3 linked regions of the Alligator mississippiensis genome follow. Each later gene encodes a partner of the first gene's protein in a complex. Links are inferred from orthologs where the notes say so. Each region holds a gene or a part of one and is shown in the gene's direction. Other genes may lie near its edges.

Region 1 (3,745 bases):
TATGTTTCCCTAAAAGAAGATCTGTATATAGTGAAAGCTGTTGCTGCAGGAATATGCAAATTTTGTGCTTAAGTCTCTCCTATTCTAATGAGCTATTTTGCAAAAAATTATAAAAACAGGAAATTTCAGAGCCTACATACAAGTGAGGGCTTTTTTTTTTTTTTTTAAATGATTTTTTATTTCACACACTCCTACATTATAAATATTAATACACAGCTGGCACTTACAAGAAAAATACTTATGGGCACAATTGTTTTATTATATTTTTAACAAAAGCAAGTTCAAGGAATTCAAAACACAGACAACACCTTACGGGGGGAATTTTCACTTGTTCAGCAACTGCAATGAGTAGGAAAGGACCAGGAAATAGGCCAAAGGCTGTGAGAGGAGCAGTTTTATGGTACCTTCACACACCAGTTCTCTCCTGTGACCTACCATAAAGGTAAAACCCTGTTCTCACTGAAGTCAGTGCCTGAACTCTCACTGTCCTGCATGGAGCTAGACTTTCACTCATGGATCATGACGTGCAGGAGTGGCCAAGATGTCTGCTTTTTGTATAGAGTAACTGAAATTCATTTACCTCTTCTGCTTCCAGATGAATTTGCAATTAAGGGGGTGTGCTGCGTGAGAGAGATACCTCACGGAGGTAGAGTCACAGCATGTTCTGCTGAGCAGTCACTTGTGTAGCTACTACAGGTTAAAGGCATGATAGACAGGTTGTCAGACCTTCTGAAGAGAAGATCTTGGTACTGGCTTATTGAAGTGGCTAATATTTTTTCAGTTGTTCAGTTTCTTTTTCTATTAGAATCTTTGATACTTCAGAGACCACTTCCAGGTAGAGCAGAAAGGAGGAAAAAAAAAAAAAAAAAAAAAAAATCAAATAGTCTAAATGTTTCTTTTTTCCTCATCTCCATGGGTATAAATTTGTTGGGTTAGAAACCACACCCTCTTAACCTTTTTTCATCTTTGACCTCACCACCAGCCCCTTTTTTTCTAATGCTAATTTGTACCAGATAAGGACCCTTCAGTCCATATACTTCTGATAAGGGATCATTTAAAAACAACTGCAACCAAATGTGTGTTTCACTGTTCTTCCTGGAAACGTTGTGGATCATAAGTTCATTCAGTATTGACTCTGTAGTACTGGAGGAGTTCAGCAGCTCTTGGGGTGTCTTCTGGTGAGAAAAACATTTGGAGTGAGAAGGACATTGAGACCCTTACATACTCAAGTAGCTTGAGGAGCTGGGACGGTATGAAACATGCCAGCTATGACAAGGGCTGGAAATCTTTTCAGACTAACTGGCAAGGAGGGGAAAATGTCTACAGCATTGGCTGAGGATTCGAGCTGTGAGCTGGTGAGAAGAACAGAGATGCTGATGCATGCCTTGCAAGGAAGGAAATGTTAGGTAAGCCTCTGAAGGCTGTCCTGGGGTACAGGGCAATGAGAAGTTCCAAGAATGATTAGTTAGGAGGTAAGGAATGAGCACCAGGATGTAGTGATGAACAAATGAAGATGTTTCTCATTGTTCTAGAATGGGTGTGTTGAAGTCTATAAAGGCAGCAATATCTTGCAGTGGAAAAACCCTCCCATGATCTCTTTAGAATAAAAAACAGTATTATATTGGGAGGAGACTTAATTGAGGTGTCAAGACTTCAGTAGAAAATATAACAAATCACTGAACCATACAGTGGTTTCAATTTAACTCTATTCTAAGTGAATGACAAAGGAAATAGTTGCAGCCAGGCTTCTGTTCTCACTTCCTTCTGTGAGAAGATACAGATATTTCCTCAGCAGTAAGCCAGTACACTCTCTGTTCAGGCAACCATGGGCAACTGGGTAGAGAATGAAGGACTCTCCATTTTTGTTATTGTAAGTACAATCCTTTCTTGCAATTTATTTCTGATCACACATGCTGATTACTTGATGTTATTTCGTATATGATCCTGTGAAAAAGGGTGTTATATAGCACCTGAAGAGAGCTGTTACTAAGAGATTCTGGGTGAAATCCTAGTCCTGTTGGGGGGGGGGGGGGGGAGGAAACAAACAAACAAACAAACAAGGGACTTAACTTGTATCTTTTGTGCCAAGTCTCATTTAACTTGCTATAAATATGAATGTAATATAGATATAAAATGTCTGAAATCAAAAGAGCAAGCAACATTTAAATTTTGATATAAACTGTATACATTTTTTAAAAAGCCAACCTAGCAAATGATGGTACAGTAAAAGGCTTTTGAGAAGCAAATGCTAATAAAGCTGAACTAGATCACGATGTACAGTGCTCAGTGACAAGATTATGTGGGTCAGCGTTGCAGATTCCAGGATCCTGTATAGAGACGCACTGTTCACTTTCATGGCAGCTTCATGCAAACTTCAAGTAACGTGGTGTTATACTAGCCAGTATGTTCCTTTAGCTCCAGGTAGGTTACAAAAAAGTGGTTGGAAAGTAATTTGTGGGTAGAGGAATGGAGTCTGGCATATAGGGAGAAACGGTTAGTATTTGGATTCCCCTGCGCGCCCTCCCCCCCAAAAATGCATGTGCTTGCTCTAGGAAGCCATTAGGTATTTAGTTTTGTATTAACAAGATGCATAACTAAGTTAACGACTTGTCAAATTTTGTTGAAGCCGACACAAATACACCAATAGGAAAGAGGTGATTATAAATGTTCTCTGTACAAGAACTCAGTATTACCTGAATTTTAATAAGTATATTATTATTTCCCCTAAAGTAAGAAAAATTGTTTTCAAAGAGTTATTTGAAATATAGAAAGTAGTAAGGGAAGATGAAGAGAAGTAGTAAAGGGAACTCTTTTGCTAGAGGGTTTGAATGGAAAAATGTTCTGCTTTATTCACAGCTACTCTACAATACATTAGTTGCGCATCAAGTTCCTAATGCAATATTAAGAATTTTTCTAAAAACTTTTTTCATGGAGCATGTAAGGCCTAGGCTAACTGCAAACTCCTTTACAACCACAATGGTGGGCCAAGGAACACTGCAGGAGTTACCCCTGAAGCCAAAGGTTAGGTATAAAGGAAGCTGGTACTACAGTTTGTCAACTTTGATTATAAGCATAATATTTAAAGTTTACCCCCCCACCCCAATCTCCCTGCTCTACCATGTTTGTGCACCATTAGCCAGGAGCAGCATGGTGCAAACTGTCCGCAGTTTAGAGCCATTTCACTGTGTGGCTTGAAGTCCAAAAGCAAGTAGCGTCAAGCTAAGGGAAATGTACTGACTCAGTGTGATTGGGTTGCAATGGGAGGGCTGTTGCAGGATGGCTAGGAACCCTCCACCACACCCTTGTTTTTGGCACAACCCACAAATGTGGATCTGACCAAAGATACGCAACTGAAATGATATTCTAGCCGTTAATAACAGGCACCAGCAAAAGTAGATGCGCATGGGCCCAGTGTCACATGGATCTTGCACAATCACATAGCTATACCTATGCATTTAGGCAAAAGAGGACTCAATTAGCTGCTGTAGGATTGTGGCTTATTTTCTCCATCTCTCCGAGCAAACTAATCCCACACCCTTTAGCAGATCTAGCCTTCCTTCCAGTACAGGCCAATGCTGTATAGGGCAGTTACACTTAAGGAAGTATTTAGCACCCTTAAATAGTAGAAAGCTGTGAGTGAGGAAAACATTATAGAATGAAAGAGCAGATAAAAAGATTCCCTTTGGTAAACAAAACAAAACAACCTCCCCCCACCCCCAAAGCCTATCAACCCTTACTCTCCACA
Region 2 (3,745 bases), on another chromosome or scaffold:
CTGCGTGTGGCGCTGAATAGATGGCTCTGACCCCAGCCTGCCTCGGCTTTCCTTCCTGATACCCTGCCAGGGTGAGGGGGGTGGAGAGTTTAGGTGATGGAGGGGTCCGGGGTGGCTTGCACAGCGCTGATCCTGCCTCCGGCCCGGGTTGCAGGAGCTGTGACCTCTGCTGCTCCCTTCCCGCCTGCCTCCTCCCTGCCTCTATGGGAGCGGAGCAGGTTGTTCGAGTCCTGGGGCCACCTACCCGGTGTTGGGAACAGCCCCGCTGCCTCGTCCGGGCCGCTCCAGGTGCGGCTGTTTTATTGTCCACGTCCTTCCTCTTTTACAAAGAGAGGAGAGTTGCTGCTGGCCGGAGCGTGCGGTCGCTGCCGGGCTCCACCCCAGAAGCAGCTGCCTTTCTGAGGAAGCTGCGGCTGACTGGCCGTGTCCTGTAGTGGTAGCAGGGCTCGCTGCCGCATGCGCTTTCGTGGCGAGCTCGGACGTCTGCCCCCTGTGAGCTCTGGGCAGGGCTCGGGATTTTCCTTCCCCTGCGCCTGGGGTCTCTCTGGCTGCTGTCGTGCCACGTGTGAGCGGCTCCGAGCCTGCACGTGGGGGCTGCAGAGTCCAGGCCCAGCACGGGGCGGAGGAGAAAGCCTCCCCGTCCTCAGGGGCTTTCTAGGGGCTGGTCTGAACAGTGGGTACAAATCCCTGCCTGGGGAGGGCACACCTGCAGGCCTGGGCTGGATCCTGAGCAGGGGACGCGAGTTCTAGCCTCTCCCTGCCACCGACAAGCGTGCTGCTCTTGGTCAAGTCCCTGCACGCGCTGTGCCTCAGTTTCCCCCCACTGGTTCTCAGGCCCTTCCCTGGGCGCTTGGTTCTTGGCCCTTTTCCCAGCGGGGAGGAGACGGGCAGCCCCGTCAGGGTCCAGGAACGGGCCTGGGCTCCTGCCCCTCCGTGCCTCAGTTTCCCCTTGGAGGCAGTAGGGCCTGGGAGCCCCCTTTGCCGGGGGGGGGGGGGCGGACCTTCCTGGCTGCTGGGAACCCAGAGCCTGGGGGCAGGCCTGGGGGCGGGGCCAGCCCGGAAGGGGGCGTGGATTATGCAAAGCAGGGGGCGGGGCCGGGAGCCTGCCATCTCGGAAGTGGCTGCTACAGTGTGTCCAGGGGCGTCCGCCGGGCATGGGGGGCATCGAGTGGGCCATGTGGGCCAACGAGCAGGCGCTGGCCTCCGGCCTCAGTGAGTGGGGGGCAGGGGGCTGGCTGGGGGGCAGGGGCCCGGGGGGTAAAGGGGTAGGTTGGGGGTGTGCAGGGTACAGGCTTGGGGGCAAGGCAGCAGGGCTGGGGGCTGGCTGGGGGGCAGGGGCCCAGGGGGTAAAGGGGTAGGTTGGGGGTGTGCAGGGTACAGGCTTGGGAGCAGGGCTGGGGGCTGGTTGGGGGGCAGCTGGGCAGGCTGGGGGCCAAGGGAGCAGGGCTGGTTGGGGGCAGGCTGGGGGGGGTGCAGGGTGCAGGGGAGAGGGGCAGGGGGGCAGGGCTGGGGCTGGTTGGGGCAGCTGGGCAGGCTGGGGGGTGCGGGGGGCTGGGGAGGTGCCGGGGAGATGGGCAGGGGGGCCAGGCTGGGGGCTGCAGTGGCTTGAGAGGGAGGTCTCCACGGCCCTGCATGCCCCCTGCCCCATGGAGCTGGGCCCCGGCCCCGGCTTTGAGGAAGTGCCTGGCTGAAATGGGGAAGAAAGCTCAGCGCAGCGCCCAGCCGCCCCCACAGCCTGTGGCCCTGGGCAGGGCCCGGAGACGCCCCCAGGAACCGGGATCTGGGCTCCCCCGGATCCTGGGGAGCCTTTTCCTTCATCCAGGAGCTGGGGCTGCTCCGCATTTGCAGCAGTCGCCAGCAGCCCTGCCCCTGCCCCTCTCCGTGCCCCCAGGCGGGAGCTCAGGGGCACTTGGCTTCCACCTGGGCGGGTTTCTGCACCCACGCCCCCTGCGCTGCAGCCCCAGGGCCTGTGCGGGGGCAGGGGGAAGTGCAGGTTTCACTTTGAGCACGCCCAGCTGTGCCCCTGTCTCAGGGCTTTCCCAGCTGCTCCTCCCTGCATGCTGGGGTAAGCAGGAGGAGGCCCAAAAGCTCTTCCTTCCCCTTCTGCCCCCCAGCTTGTGCTGGCACCACGTTCAAACCATGCGATGGACAGGGTGAGCGAGGCGTGGGCTGTCCCTGAGCAAGCCAGGGAGCCCGGCCAGCTTACACTGCACTCAAAACCCACCCGGGGGCACATCACATCCATCGTGTCTAAGCCCAAGCAGCCCAGCTGGAAAGGCCATGCCCAGCTGACCTCCTTGCCTTGCGGCTGCACGGCCCAGGCGGTGCCCAAGGGGACCGTGCCAGACTGGGGTCACCAGTGCAATAGGTGCTGGTCTGGCAGTAGCCTGACCCCGACACGGCCGCCTTCCTGGCCAAGCTGGCCCCAGAGAGGAGCCTGGACGTGCTGCAGACCCTGGCGCTGGGTGCAGATGAAGCTGGGCGCAGACTGGCAGCTCTGGGTCCCCGCTGGGGATGTCCTGCTGTGGGACCTGGGCTTTCAGCTCCATCCCTGTCACCATGCTCAGGGGTCCTGGATAACTGGAGGTGTCTCCTGCCCACGTTGGATGAAGGCTGGACTTGTGCAGTGCCAGTCACCCGCACGTGGCACTAGCACAGCTGCCCCAGGAGGACATCCTGGAGGGGATGCACACCCAGGCGCTCTCCCCCAGGCCGGCTGGCTGCCCCCACAGCTGTGGACTTGAGGTCGCTGGGACCACGTCTGCCCACAGCCATTGCTGTAGCAGAGGCTGCAATGGAACAGCCCCAGCAGCGCCAACCGTCCACCGGTGCCTGTGGGCTCCTGCTTCCTGGCACCGCAGCCTCGCCCGGGCCTGTGGCTGGTGCTACCAGGAAGGCTGATGGCAGCCTCCCGGGCCCTGGTGATGCCCTGGGGGAGGGAGCTGCAGCTGGGGGTGGGCGTGTATGTGTGTTTGTGGTGAGTGCTTGCATTGTGTGTGTATGTGCCTTGTGTGTGGGTGGGCATGTGCAGTGTGTGAGCATGTGTGTGTAGGCTATGTGCAGTGTGTGTGTGCTTGCAGGGTGTGCGTGTATGCAGTGTATGTAGTGTGTGCTTGTGATGTACGTATGTGCTTGCAGGGCGTGTGCGTATGCAGTGTGTGTGTAGTGTGTGCTTGTGATGTGTGTATGTGCTTGCAGGTTGTGTGTGTATTCAGTGTATGTGTGCTTGTGATGTGTGTATGTGCTTGCAGGTTGTGTGTGTATTCAGTGTATGTGTGCTTGTGATGTGTGTATGTGCTTGCAGGGTGTGTGTGTATGCAGTGTGTGTGTAGTGTGTGCTTGTGATGTGTGTATGTGCTTGTAGGATGTGTGCATATGCGTTGTATGTGTAGTGTGTGCTTGTGATATGTGTATGTGCTTGCAGGGCATGTGTGCATGTAGTGTGTGTGTGGTATGTGCTTTCAGGGTGTGTGTGTATGTAGTGTATGCATAGTGTGTGCTTGATTTGTTTATGTGCTTGCAGGGTGTGTGTGTATGCAGTATATATATAGTGTATGTTTGTGATTTGTGTGCATGTGCTTGCAGTTGTGTGTGTGTGTGTGTGGTGTATGTGCAGTGTATGTGCACTTGTGTGTGTGCATGTGTGCATGGTTTGTGTGCACTTGGAGTGTGCATATGTGTAGTTTGTGTGGTGTATATGTGTGCTTGCAGGGGGTGAGTGTGTATGTACAGTGTCTGTGTAATG
Region 3 (3,745 bases), on another chromosome or scaffold:
GTGCAAGTTGTGTTGTGCTTGGTGCACCTGGGCCTGGTCTGGTTTACTTGCTGTTGCTGCTGTTGAGAATTGTTGTAAGTTGTGTTGTATGTGGTTAAGTGAGATAGGCGTTGTCTGAAGTGCAGTCCCTAGCTGTGACCCTTCAAAATGTTGTTTCTTCCCCCAACTTGTGTATATAGTCCTGTAATTGCCATTGTGTATAATTGTATTAATCACTTTTCATACGTACCTGTTGTTTTGGTATCTTCTCTGAGTCTGTTTAATATAGTCGGGCTGTTGAATGGTTCATGAGAGTCTGTGATTTTTCTTGGTGGGAGCTTATTAATATTTAGCTACCTGGAGCTGGGCTGAAGGCTAATGGTTAGCATTGGGACAGACCCCTCCAATCAAAGAGAGCATTTGCATAATTAGCCTAATTGAGTTCTCGCTCTCAACAGAGGTTTTGGGGAATTCCCATCAGCAACCAGCCTGCAGCTAGGTGCTGCCTTTGGAAGTTAAGAGCGTGCGCGCTTCCTTTAAAAGGAACACGGCTGCAGGAACATGGCAGGACCTTCTTTCTTCATGCCCCAGTTCCTCTATGCCACATCACTGATGAACTCTGACTCAACTGTGACTACACTGACAGCAGTGCGATGCCAAACATAAGCCTCAAATTATAGATCCCATGAGGCAAAAAAAAAAACCGAAAGAGGCGAATAGCCGTGGGTGGAGGAGGAGGATTTATAATAACACAGCAAGGGGCTGCTCGGATTCACGTCAGCCAGCATTTGCTGTACTTCCCCATCTCAGCAGGGCTGTTTTTCATTGGCAAGTGTAGACACTTCCTGATAAGTTTGCGACATTGAACACTGTGTGGGTGCTGGAGGGAATACAGAAGTACAAGTAGAAGTGCACTGGCCGAGCTGCAGTGCAGAGGAAAGAGGGCCCAGAGTAAGGAAAAGCCACTCCAAGTTGTGGGGAGACCTGCCATCGCACTACCAGATACCCCACTGAAGGCTCCTGAGGAACCATGTCTCTGGCTGAGACGATCCAGCTATGGCATGACGGGGTACGTGCTGCCGATCAGAAGGACTGGAGAGCAGCGCTGGAGGCCTTCACTTCAGTTCAGAACCCCTCCTCCAAACTCTGCTTTAACATTGGCTCCATCCATCTGATCCTGGGGAACTTGGCTGAGGCAGAGCAGGTGAGTAAGAGCATCTCGATTCCTCCTGCCCCTGCCTCTTCTACATTCAAATCCGACTTAGCGGCACACCCAGCCCTGCCAGATAGACTGAAGGGCCCACTGACAAGTGAGAGGACTGACAGAAGTAGACTGATGATGAAATGACTGACAGCCTGACTCGCAGGTCAGACACATCTGTGCCTGACAGGCTGAAGGGCACTCGGCACAAACCTGTCAGGTAGCTGGCAAGCTGGCCTGGCTGGGTGCAAGGGGAAGAACTCCTCCGTGCTGCAGCTCAGCCACTGCTCAGCCAACCAGATGATGCCACATGGAGTATTTGCCAACCTGGCGGTTCACACCAACAGGCAGCCACATAGTGACTAATGGTCTATTAGGGAGGATGGCCCAGCAATTGATAGACCTGTCCTGAGCAGGATGAAGAGACAGTTACAGCACAATAGGTCACATACTTCATTTAATTCTTGCTGCTCAGTGCTGGGCGGGGGAAGTGGGGGGGTATTTAATTTATGGGCCTCTGGCCAGGTGAAACACAAGAGCCAAAGCTGAAGGGTGGAAAGAGGAGGTACAATCCTTTTCCTTCTCTCCACATTTCCCTTTCCATTTCATCCTTCATTTCATCCCTTCTCCTGAGATGCTGGTTTCATGCCTCCTACCAGTCAAAGGCAAGCACCGCACATGCCAGGTTCTGTTCCACTCTCCCCTCTACCGCAGCACTAGCCGCAGCTGCAGCTGCTGCCTTCTCCCCATCCCTATACTCCGTATCCAGGTCTCCCTTTGCAACTTCTCTCTGGGGAATAGGTTTCATGTATGAATCATCTCCTATCCCCTGCAGGCATTTGCCAGGAGTATTAACTGTGACAAGCACTTGGCTGTGGCCTATTTCCAGAGAGGAACAGTATTTTACAAGAGAGAAAAGTAAGTATTGGAAACTCCCTAATGGAAGTGAGGTGGGTGGGTGTGTAAAAGTCAAACTTTGTTTCCCTGACTGGCAGAGAAGCCTTTTGACAAGTCAGTCATGCTGGAATGCTGCAGAGGTAACTGGAGCCAGAACGCACCTAACAAGGTAAATACTATCTCATGCTTAGCAGTGGTCCCAACCTACGGATGAAGACTATTCTTGGGAGCCTCGGAAATTTCCCAGTGTGTGTTTAAAAGCAATGAGAGGATTAGCTAAATCCTATATAAGAAACCTTTACAAAAGGGAGTGTACACAGCACCTAATGTGATGGGGCACAACCAGAATATAAATGATACACAATAATATTAACACTGGTCACAGCTTTGGGTCTAAAGCAGATGCAGGTAACAGACTCAAAAGCCTTGAGACTGGCAAGCACAATTGGCCAATGAAGAGTCAGAACACAATTGCCTAGATCTGGACAGCCTCTTTTCTCCCAAGAATGACTCAGGATGAAGGGCTTGGGCTGTGGTAAAAGGCTACTGGCATGTCATTAGCTGGCCAAGTGACTCAGGATGAGAACAAGACTGCATTCTTGAAAGGCACCAGGCAGCCCAGCCAGCAAAAGGCCCTGCCCTTTTCTTGGTGGACCCTGACAGATTATTAACTTTGCTTTACAGCTATGATTCAGCAGTCGAAGACTTTAAAGAAGCACTGGCTCAGCTGCGAGGGAACCTGCTGATAGACTATAAGATCCTGGGGCTGCAGTTCAGGCTGTTTGCTTGTGAGGTAAGGAGCATACGGGAAATGTGACACTGAAACAAGCAAGGCTATCCATGAAGCAGAACAAGTTAAGTGGTGAAGATATATTGCAATCCAATGCCACACAGCCAGTGGGTGTAACTCAGACATGAGGCCTCCATATAGGAAGAGAAAAAGGTGGGAGGTGATACATCAAATATAACGCAACACATATTTCTCCAGTTAAAAAGAAACTAGAGACTTTACTAATATGCTAAGGGCCTAAGGGCTATATTATTCCATTTAAGATCAAAGCAAAACCAAATATAACTTAACTGCAACATGCATTAATTTGCTATATATCATGTACTTTGTATAAAAAAAACAACACAACAAACTTGGCCAAAATAATCCAAAGATATTGTTGCATTAGTCCTGCAACATTAGCTATTAGAATAAAATGTATATTTTTTCAGATTCATAAAACAAAATCTAGCCTTCTTGAGAATCCTGATAATGCATCCAGTACTTCACTGAAAGTTGCTTATACAGCTGAATAAACGTTCACCCGAGTTAACATTTCTACAGCTGAGTTAGTGTTTTTAGATAGAGTTAAAAACAGCTAACAGACAGTAGAACTACAGAAGAAAGGGTAGCTTGATTAGTGGAACATCGAGACTTAAAAAGGAGAAACAGGCAGAATCAAGACTATAGAAGGAATCAGGCAGTTTACAAGGAGCCATGAAGTCAGTTGACTCCCTCATTGCTACTGCACCTGCCAGGCAGTTGGCTTTAAAATTTGGGTGGGCCAGGAATCAAGGAGTGGGTGCACCACTGCACCCTGACCTCATATATGAGTGACAAGCCAACATTCAGCCTTCAGAGCTCGCATGGAAGAAATTAGAGGCTGGTCCCTAGGACTA

The links.
Region 2: the proteins of cytochrome b-245 heavy chain (region 1) and cytochrome b-245 light chain are in contact, whole or in part, in a cryo-EM structure (PDB 8X2L), measured with the Homo sapiens proteins. The link is inferred for Alligator mississippiensis from reciprocal best matches to the Homo sapiens genes CYBB and CYBA. Residues at the interface, in NP_000388.2 of Homo sapiens: Thr116, Ile117, Leu120, Phe121, Val123, Glu124, Asn128, Asn133, Lys161, Asn162, Pro163, Gly166, Leu167, Ala170, Val180, Thr183, Leu184, Ile187, Leu188, Thr191, Ser192, Thr194, Lys195, Thr196, Ile197, Arg199, Ser200, Tyr201, Glu203, Val204; in NP_000092.2 of Homo sapiens: Gln3, Ile4, Glu5, Trp6, Met8, Trp9, Glu12, Gln13, Ala16, Ile20, Thr23, Val27, Gly31, Phe33, Thr34, Gln35, Arg56, Arg59, Met65, Gly102, Phe103, Leu104, Leu105, Ala106, Ile108, Leu109, Ala112, Cys113, Ile116.
Region 3: cytochrome b-245 heavy chain (region 1) and NCF2 share a complex: the UniProt entries of both Homo sapiens proteins name them as parts of the phagocyte NADPH oxidase complex. The link is inferred for Alligator mississippiensis from reciprocal best matches to the Homo sapiens genes CYBB and NCF2.

What each region holds. Positions count from the first base shown.
Region 1 is NC_081824.1:306,491,480-306,495,224, reverse strand, and holds the start of cytochrome b-245 heavy chain, read left to right. Parts: upstream 1-1,483; 5' UTR 1,484-1,825; coding exon 1,826-1,870; intron 1,871-3,745. UniProt on the Homo sapiens protein: Catalytic subunit of the phagocyte NADPH oxidase complex that mediates the transfer of electrons from cytosolic NADPH to O2 to produce the superoxide anion (O2(-)).
Region 2 is NC_081833.1:75,249,146-75,252,890, reverse strand, and holds the start of cytochrome b-245 light chain, read left to right. Parts: upstream 1-1,092; 5' UTR 1,093-1,154; coding exon 1,155-1,212; intron 1,213-3,745. UniProt on the Homo sapiens protein: Subunit of NADPH oxidase complexes that is required for the NADPH oxidase activity that generates, in various cell types, superoxide from molecular oxygen utilizing NADPH as an electron donor.
Region 3 is NC_081828.1:54,297,169-54,300,913, reverse strand, and holds the start of NCF2 (neutrophil cytosol factor 2), read left to right. Parts: upstream 1-823; 5' UTR 824-1,009; coding exon 1,010-1,183; intron 1,184-2,015; coding exon 2,016-2,098; intron 2,099-2,761; coding exon 2,762-2,870; intron 2,871-3,745. UniProt on the Homo sapiens protein: Subunit of the phagocyte NADPH oxidase complex that mediates the transfer of electrons from cytosolic NADPH to O2 to produce the superoxide anion (O2(-)).